Linked DNA regions of Oryctolagus cuniculus. The protein of the gene in region 1 binds, or shares a complex with, the protein of each later gene. Links are inferred from orthologs where the notes say so. Each region holds a gene or a part of one and is shown in the gene's direction. Other genes may lie near its edges. The genes, in order: KIT and SOCS6.

The links.
Region 2: the proteins of KIT (region 1) and SOCS6 are in contact, whole or in part, in a crystal structure (PDB 2VIF), measured with the Homo sapiens proteins. The link is inferred for Oryctolagus cuniculus from reciprocal best matches to the Homo sapiens genes KIT and SOCS6. Residues at the interface, in NP_000213.1 of Homo sapiens: Asn566, Asn567, Tyr568, Val569, Tyr570, Ile571, Asp572, Pro573, Thr574; in NP_004223.2 of Homo sapiens: Arg391, Glu395, Arg409, Asp410, Ser411, Ser412, Asp413, Ser419, Phe422, Thr428, Leu429, His430, Thr431, Arg432, Phe442, Tyr443, Glu444, Gln445, Val448, His460, Asp464, Ala469, Phe470, Cys471, Tyr472, Ser473, Arg474, Ser475, Arg476, Thr482.

The regions. Positions count from the first base shown.
Region 1 is NC_091439.1:109,593,168-109,596,966, reverse strand, and holds part of KIT (mast/stem cell growth factor receptor Kit), read left to right. Parts: intron 1-129; coding exon 130-236; intron 237-478; coding exon 479-605; intron 606-724; coding exon of another isoform or gene 725-733; intron 734-734; coding exon of another isoform or gene 735-779; coding exon 780-884; intron 885-960; coding exon 961-1,071; intron 1,072-2,243; coding exon 2,244-2,394; intron 2,395-3,799. UniProt on the Homo sapiens protein: Tyrosine-protein kinase that acts as a cell-surface receptor for the cytokine KITLG/SCF and plays an essential role in the regulation of cell survival and proliferation, hematopoiesis, stem cell maintenance, gametogenesis, mast cell development, migration and function, and in melanogenesis.
Region 2 is NC_091441.1:8,447,842-8,451,740, reverse strand, and holds the start of SOCS6 (suppressor of cytokine signaling 6), read left to right. Parts: upstream 1-1,393; 5' UTR 1,394-1,608; intron 1,609-2,496; 5' UTR 2,497-2,685; intron 2,686-3,899. UniProt on the Homo sapiens protein: SOCS family proteins form part of a classical negative feedback system that regulates cytokine signal transduction.

The DNA.
Region 1 (3,799 bases):
AGGGAGGGGCGTCGCCAAGGCCAGGATCCAAGACTCGCCCGGCTGTCGGGCAGGCGGTGGCTGTCCAGGACCCCGTCCGGGGCCAGGGTGTGACCCCCCACCCCCACCCCCATTTCTCTCGCACCCCAGAGCAGATCCAGGCGCACACCCTGTTCACACCTCTGCTGGTGGGGTTCGTGGTGACGGCCGGCGTCATGTGCATCATTGTCATGGTCCTCACCTACAAGTACCTGCAGGTGAGTGCCCGCCTGTCCGTGCCCGGGGCGGGGTGGAGCGGGGCGTGGCGGGGGCGTGGCGTGGCGGGGCGGGGCATGATGTGGCGGCGGGGCGGGGTGGGGCGCGGCGTGGTGGGGGTGGGGTGGGGTGGAGCGGGGCGCGGGGGCGTGGCGTGGCGGGGCGTGGCGTGGCGGCAGCGGGGGGGGGGGGGGGGGGGCGCGGCAGCGGCCAGCCGCTCACCTACGGGCCCGGGTCCCCGCAGAAGCCCATGTACGAGGTGCAGTGGAAGGTGGTGGAGGAGATCAATGGCAACAGCTACGTGTACATCGACCCGACGCAGCTTCCCTACGACCACAAGTGGGAGTTTCCCAGGAGTCGGCTGAGCTTTGGTCAGTGGGCGCCGGGGGGCTTTCCGCGCCAGCCGTCCGCGTGCACCTGACGGCGACTTTAGGGAACTCGGGTGGCTGCTGTGGCTGGCGCAGCGGTGCCACGTCCATGTGCAGCCCTGCCCGCCACCGCCCCCACCACTGACCCTGTCCCCATCCGTCCTGTTCCTCTCGCAGGGAAGACCCTGGGCGCCGGCGCCTTCGGGAAGGTGGTGGAGGCCACGGCCTACGGGCTGATCAAGTCGGACGCGGCCATGACCGTCGCCGTGAAGATGCTGAAACGTAAGTCCCCGCGTGTGCTGGGCTCCGGGGGCCGCCAGCCGTGGGCCTGGCCGCAAGCAGGCGTTTTTCGTTCCAGCGAGCGCCCACCTGACGGAGCGGGAAGCCCTCATGTCCGAGCTCAAGGTGCTGAGCTACCTGGGGAATCACATGAACATCGTGAACCTCCTGGGAGCCTGCACCGTGGGAGGTAAAGCCGCGCCGTGCGCCCGCCCGCCTCGCCCCGCAGCAGGAGGGTCAGGCGGCCCGCATAGAGGCTGCTCGCGGCGTGTTCCTGCTCCGCGCCGGCCGAGGCTGCCCTGGGGCGTGTAGCCCAGGACCCAGGGCAGTCACCCCGCTCCAAGAAGGGTGTGGGAAGGACAGCCGGACGATGAGGTCATTTTGGTGCTAAAGAAATTTCTTTTTAAGATTGATTTATGTGAAAGAGAAAGAGAGAGATGTTCCGTCTGCTGGTTCACTCCCCAGATGGCCACCACGGCCTGGGCTGGGCCAGGCCGGAGCCAGGCGCTTCAGCCGGGTCTCCCACATGGGTGCAGGGGCCCAGGCACTCGGGCCACCATCCGCTGTCTTGCCAGGCCATAGCAGGGAGCTGGATGGGAAACAGGGCAGCCGGGACTCCAGTCGGGGATGCCAGTGCCACGCGGCCCCGGCACGAACATCTGGACTGTGTCCTGGTGAGCCGAGGGAAGGCTCTGGGAGGCCTGGAGCCTTGCCCGTTGCTGGGCCGTGTTTGGTCATCGGGGCTAATATTGCTGTGGACACCCACATTTTGAACGGGCCCCGCGCTCCCTGCTCTCCCAGTTCTCCGATGCCGAGTCACTTCTGCAGAGTCAGCAGCCCCGTGGAGGGTCCCATCCAGGCAGTCTGCAGCAGGCCCTGGGGTCTAGCTGCCCCCACAGGTGTGGAGAAGCCTGCAGTGACGTCCACCCAGGCCCTGCAGGTGTCAGGAGTCGTGGGTGAGCTGCATCCGCCCACACTAGTTAGCTGCCTGCCACGAGAGGACCACAGCTGGAGGCGTTCGGGGCACCCAGTGCTCTGCCAGCGGCGGTGGTCAGCGTGTGGCTCGCTCCAGGTGGCCAGTCCCGCTCTGCCCTGCCGGCTGCCCCATGAGGGCAGGAGCCTCCCTGTACACGTACATCCGGGGACCCTGGGCCCCAAGCGCTGAGCTCGCCTGGGCAGGGGAAAGAGGGCCTTGCCTGTTGGGCTTTGCCCCCCCCCCCCAGCTGCTATGATTGTGCAGGGACCACCGCCGCCCCCGCCCGGAGCTGGCCGTGGCTGCCGTGACGTGCCGCGGGTGCCGGCGGAGGCGGGGTCACCCGGGGCGCAGCCCACTCTCCCTCAGCCCCTGTCCTGTGCTTGCAGGGCCCACCCTGGTCATTACAGAGTACTGCTGCTACGGGGACCTCCTGAACTTCCTGCGGAGAAAGCGGGATTCGTTCATCTGCTCCAAGCAGGAGGACCACGGGGAAGCTGCCCTCTACAAGAACCTCCTGCAGTCCAAGGAGCCGTCCTGGTAAGGCCGCCTTGCAGCCTCGCAGCTGTGGACGGGCGCTTAGCGGTCGCAATCAAGGCTGATTCTTGAGAAAACACGCTGAGGCACCCGGAGGTGCCAAATCGAAATTATTAGATTATTTAACCGTGGTGACCGGTTCAGACAGTTCAAATGGTTCGAAAGATGCAAAGCACGGTCACCTTAAGAGTTCGGCTCTTTTTTTTTTAAATACATCTCTCCTTTTTTCCTGAACTTTGCTCCGTGAGCCTGTGTGGGTTCTAGGCCTGGTTCTCCTAGCACAGTTCCTGTGTGCATTTGCCCTGACGCCCCCGAGCCTACAGGGGGCGCTGCTCCCAGGGGACCGTGCTAAAGCCTGGGCCTGCAACAGAGCAGCACGGAGCGCTGAGCCTCTCTCTCCACGTCCACTTCCCGGCGTCCCCCCCCCCCCCCCACGTCCACTTCCCGGCATCGCCCTCAAGCCAGCCCTGTGTACTTGGCCCCCACCTGGAGCTTGCCACGCGGTAAAAAGGCGGAGCTGCCCCAGCGCCTTGGAAAGCTGCACCTGCCTCTCGCACCCTGGATAGCATGAGTCCCAGTGACGTGTGAAGGGCTCTGGGTTTCCTTAAGGAGAAACGGTTGGGTCGACAGCAGAATGCGATGGCCCCCGTAGACACTGCTGACAGGCCACTCCCTCCTGAAGCCGTTTTCCGTAGCTTTGGCTCAAGTCCAGAGCCCCAGGTGGTTGGTTGGTTTTTCTGTTTGTTTGTTTGTTTTGGTGTTGGTTTGTTTTATCCTTGCAGACTCGGGTGGTTTAACAAGGCAGCGAGACACTGCCCAGGCCCCCTAGTACCGGTTTCCGCCGAGTCTGTGCCCTGGCGTGGCAGCACCGAGCCCCTTTGCCCTCTTTCTGAAACCCCCGCCTGGCGTTGCTGCGGGCACCCCAGCCAAGGCCCGTGGGAGGCGGATTGGAAAGGGTGGCTTCCTTTGATGCCAGGAGTGTTTTCACGTCCACGCACGGGAGGGGTCCTGACGAAGTCCGTGCGTGGGCGTGGAACCCGTCACTTGCCCCGTCTCCCCCGACCCCTGGGACGCGCCCGCCTGCCCTCCCGCTCCCCGGGCTGCTGGCCTGCGTGGTGCGCTGCGCGCTGCGCCATCCCATCTGGGGCTGGAAGCCTGGCGCTCCGAGGGAGCCTGTTGTCATGGTGTCCCTATGCTAATGAGAAGCGGGAAGCACTAGGAATCTTGAAGAGTCTCCAGCCAAATGTTGCCGATTCGAGAGGGCCAGATGGTTCAGAAAACCGCCCAGATTATTGGCGTTCGTCTGAACCGCGCTGGGTTTCTCCCACAGACGCCGTGTGTTCGCGCCCTCTGCCTCCCCCCGGAACAGGCCTTGGAAGCTCTTGTTCTTTGTGTGTCGCTCGTCATG
Region 2 (3,899 bases), on another chromosome or scaffold:
ATGTTGACCATGCATTCAGAAGTCTGAGGAGTGAGTTCAGCCCCGTGCTGAGGAGCCAAGCTATGACTGCACAATCTTGTTTATTGTCTTTTTGAGAGCAAACAAGGAAACACTGGCATCACAACATGATGAGATTGAAAAGTTTGCTTCTTTCATTTATTTTTACAAATTATGTATTTATATTTCCAAGGCAGCCTGGCTCATTCTTCAGATGCCTGCAGCAGACTGGGGCTGGGCCAAAGCTGGGAGCCTAGAACTCAATCCAGGTCTCCCCCTGGGTGTTAGGAACCCAAGTGCTTCAGCTGTCACTGCTGCCTCCCAGGGTCTGCGTTGGTTTCTCTTCTAGTGACTGTGCCCCATCACCACTAACTTCTCTGACAGTTCTGTTTGAATCTGCATTTTGCCATGACTAGACGTTGCAATTAAATCAGGCTAACAATGATAGCTTATTAATTATTCACGGAAAAAATGAAGACGATGGCCATTAATCAGGTTAATAACACACCAGAAATGACATCAGCTTTGTGTATGCCATTCAGTTACAGAAAACGACCCAATCACTGGAGAAAATTTCCTGTTGTTAATCCCGATTTTGTGTTGACTCAGTGTTTAAGTTAGTGTTGCATATCAAACACTTTTAGAAGTTAAACTCAATGATTTGAACTTTTTATAAATGCACAGCTTTAGGGGGGATGTAATTCTGGTACAAGTTCACACCTTAACAACTTTGAAGACTTTGTTTTCCTAGCCTTATTTCTTTATACCTTCAATTTTTCTTTTAAAAAGCTTCACACTATTGAAGAACCAACTCTGACAAGTGCACCTTCTTAAGCTAGATCTCAGTAATACCCTCTCTCCCACACCCACCTTCTGAAGGTACTGACAATTGTTTCTAATCCCATTTTCTTGTAGATTCTCACGCACAAAAAGCACATAGCACCATTCTGCACTCACGGGGGTGGGGGGGGGCGTGAACACCCGACCTTACTTCACACCACCCGGGAGTCCGGGCACAGAGGACCCTCAGTCCCTGTAGGCCCACTCGCGAAAGCGGACGGCTCGAAATATTACTTTGTAAAGCAGTTTCCCTGACTGAGCCACGGGAGGTGCGGGACGAGCGGCTCCACTTGTGGCTGCGCGGGGCGCGTGCACGGCTGTCCTCGCTCGCCCCCTCAGGCCGGCGGCCCAGGCCCGCTTCCGCGCGGCGTTCGCCGGGGCCACGCACGGGGCTGCGGGGCGCACGCGGACACGGCCCGTGCGGGGCGCCCAGCGGGCCGCCCCCGCCGCCAGCCCGCTCGCGGCCGCGCGCCCCGCCCACCCCGCGGCCGCGCGCCCCGCCCACCCCGCGGCCGCCCCGCCCACCCCGCGGCCGCCCCGCCCCGCGAGCCCGGAGGCCCCGCCTGCGCCGCGGGCCCGAGTCGTGGGCGCGGGGCGGCCCGTCTGCTCCTCCGCACCCGCTCCGCGTCCGGGCCGAGGCGCTGCGGCGCGCGCCGCTCCAGCAGCAGCAGCAGGAGGAGGAAGCCGGCGGGAGGAGGAGTTGCCGGAGCAGGGGACGAGCGAGCAGTCTCGCCGGCGCTGGGCGAGGAAGCGGAGCCGGGCCGCCGCCGGGTGAGAGTCTGCGGAGCCCCGGGAGGTGGGGGAAGGCAGGGTCGGGGGCTCCCTCCCGCAGCCCCGGACTCCGGCCGCGGGGTCCGTCTGCTCCCTGGGGCGCGGGGGGCGGATCCGACGCGGCGCTGCGCCGGGGAGGCCGCCGGGCGCGGGGCTGCAGAGAGGGGCCGGGTCGGCGGGCCCGCGGGCGAGGCCGGGAGGCGGCGGTCGGGGCGCAGGGCCGAGGCCTGCGCGGCCGCCGGGCTGCGCCTCCCGACCCACCCCTGGGCCTCGGCGCGCCGGGCCCCGGCCGCCGCCTTTGTTGCCCGCAACTCGCCGGGAAGAGGCCCGGGGCCCGGCGAGGCCTGCGCGGCGGCGGCGGCGGCGGCCGGGGCCTAGGCGACTCGGCGGCCCCGCCTCGGTCCCCGCGCGGGCCACCCCTGCCGGGCTCGGGGCTCGGCGGCGCGGGGAGGCCGCCCGCGCGGGGGCGCGCCCGGGGCGGCGACCCGGGAACCGCGGCCCGCGCCCGCAGGGCTCGGCCGGGGCCGCGGAGGGCACCGGGCCGTGTTGGGAGTGGCGGCCGGTGCCTGCGGGCCGTGAGTGGCCGGCTGCGGGCAGCGGCACGGGCCTGCCCCGCGAGTTGGCAACTTCGGGTGCTCGGGCACTGCGGAGGGAGCCCCGCCGTGGACGCCCCCGGGCGCGGGGCCTGGCGCCCAAACTTGGGACGCGTGCGGTCATTGTGCGCCGTGGGAGGTGAGACCCGCGCTCTGGGGAAGGAAGGGCCCGGGGTGCGCCGCAGAGCCCGGCGGCCGCGCCGGGTCGGTGCTGCCGGCTGCCCCGGTTCGCCGCGCTGCGTGGCATAACGATGCTGTTGCATGAAGAACCTCCGTCAACTTGTGTTTGCTGCAGGGTGAGCTGGCTGACATGCTCGCGGCACTTCGTCTGGACTTCTCCCACGTCGCCCACAGCTCCCGCAACGTGAACTCCTGGAATCCACTTGCTTGAATGAATGGATCTTACACGGACTGTTTAGTGCAGTGCAGAGTCCGTGCCGCTTAAACGCGCGAATGGCGTTGTTGACTACAAAACTCCAGAAAAGTAGGCTTGTGGTCCTTCCCTGGGCTTTCTGGTTTCTCCTCAGGCCTGCATGGGAGGGTTCCGGGTCCTGGCCTGCTATAAACAAAATGGGCCGCCTTAATTAACCCTTTGGTTCCAGCACCTTCTCTCATCTGTCTGCGTGCGTCGCCTTGGAGGATGCTGGCACCTGGACAGGCGGTTCCATGAGGAGTCTTGCTGTTGGCAAGTGCCTTCCTCTTTGTGGCCTGGGACCCACCAGGCAGGTCACGCACCTGAGCCTGCTCCTCTTGTAGGACTCTCTGCTTTCTCTTTTTGCCTGTATTACCTTTCTGAATACCCTCTCAATTGGTAGGACACCTCTCAATTGAATACCCTCTCAATTGGTAGCAAGTGTCCTCCTGCTCCCGTTTTGTTGTGGGAGACAGGTAGGCCTTGGACACTGCCTCCCACCCAGGGGCGCACCCTCAGGCTGCCACCTGACCCTCCTCTCTTGGCAGGCCACCGGCAGGGAGTGGCAGGGAAGGGATTTGGGTGCCAATGCTGGGCGGAAGAGCTCTGCTGCCCTGACTGGATTCCGCGTGGCGTCATTTCGCTTAGCCTCAGCCTGTGTCTGCGGTCGCGCTTCAGAACTGAAAGGGTGTTCTTTCTGTTGGAACAGCAGGCACCTGTGTCTTCATAGGACTGCCTCGTGTAATCCACTCCTCAGAGAAGACCCTACTCGGTATCCGCTGTGACTAGTCTTAAGGGAACTTGGTGATGGCATCTTTTGTTTTGCTGGTAGAGGTAGTCTTGTGTAAAAGTCATAATGCTCATATTCTCTGAGAAAGGGAGAAAAGTTATATCCATTTCTGAATTTGAAGCAATTACTGTTCTCTCTCATACAAATAGGGAATCCTGGGAAACGGGATGACATACACATACTTCTGTTGAGAGAGTGAGGTCAGATACCCTGACTTATTTATAATACATAGGCTGGCTAGTGGATGTGCACGTGTCTTTCTGTTACTTAGGAAAGGTGGGCTTCGGAGATCACCTTCTGCTGTTTTCTTTATTTTTTTTTGCATCCTTTAAAGGAAGAGCAGTGGATTTTAGTTCTCTGCCCTCATCCCTGGCCTCTTCCAGTTCTAGAAGTGGCACTTAGATCTGTGATGCCCTTTAGAAAGGGCAGATTTCTAATACTAGTATGTCTTAAAATTTCTTATGTGGCTGAATTGATGAAGATTATTGTCAGGTGT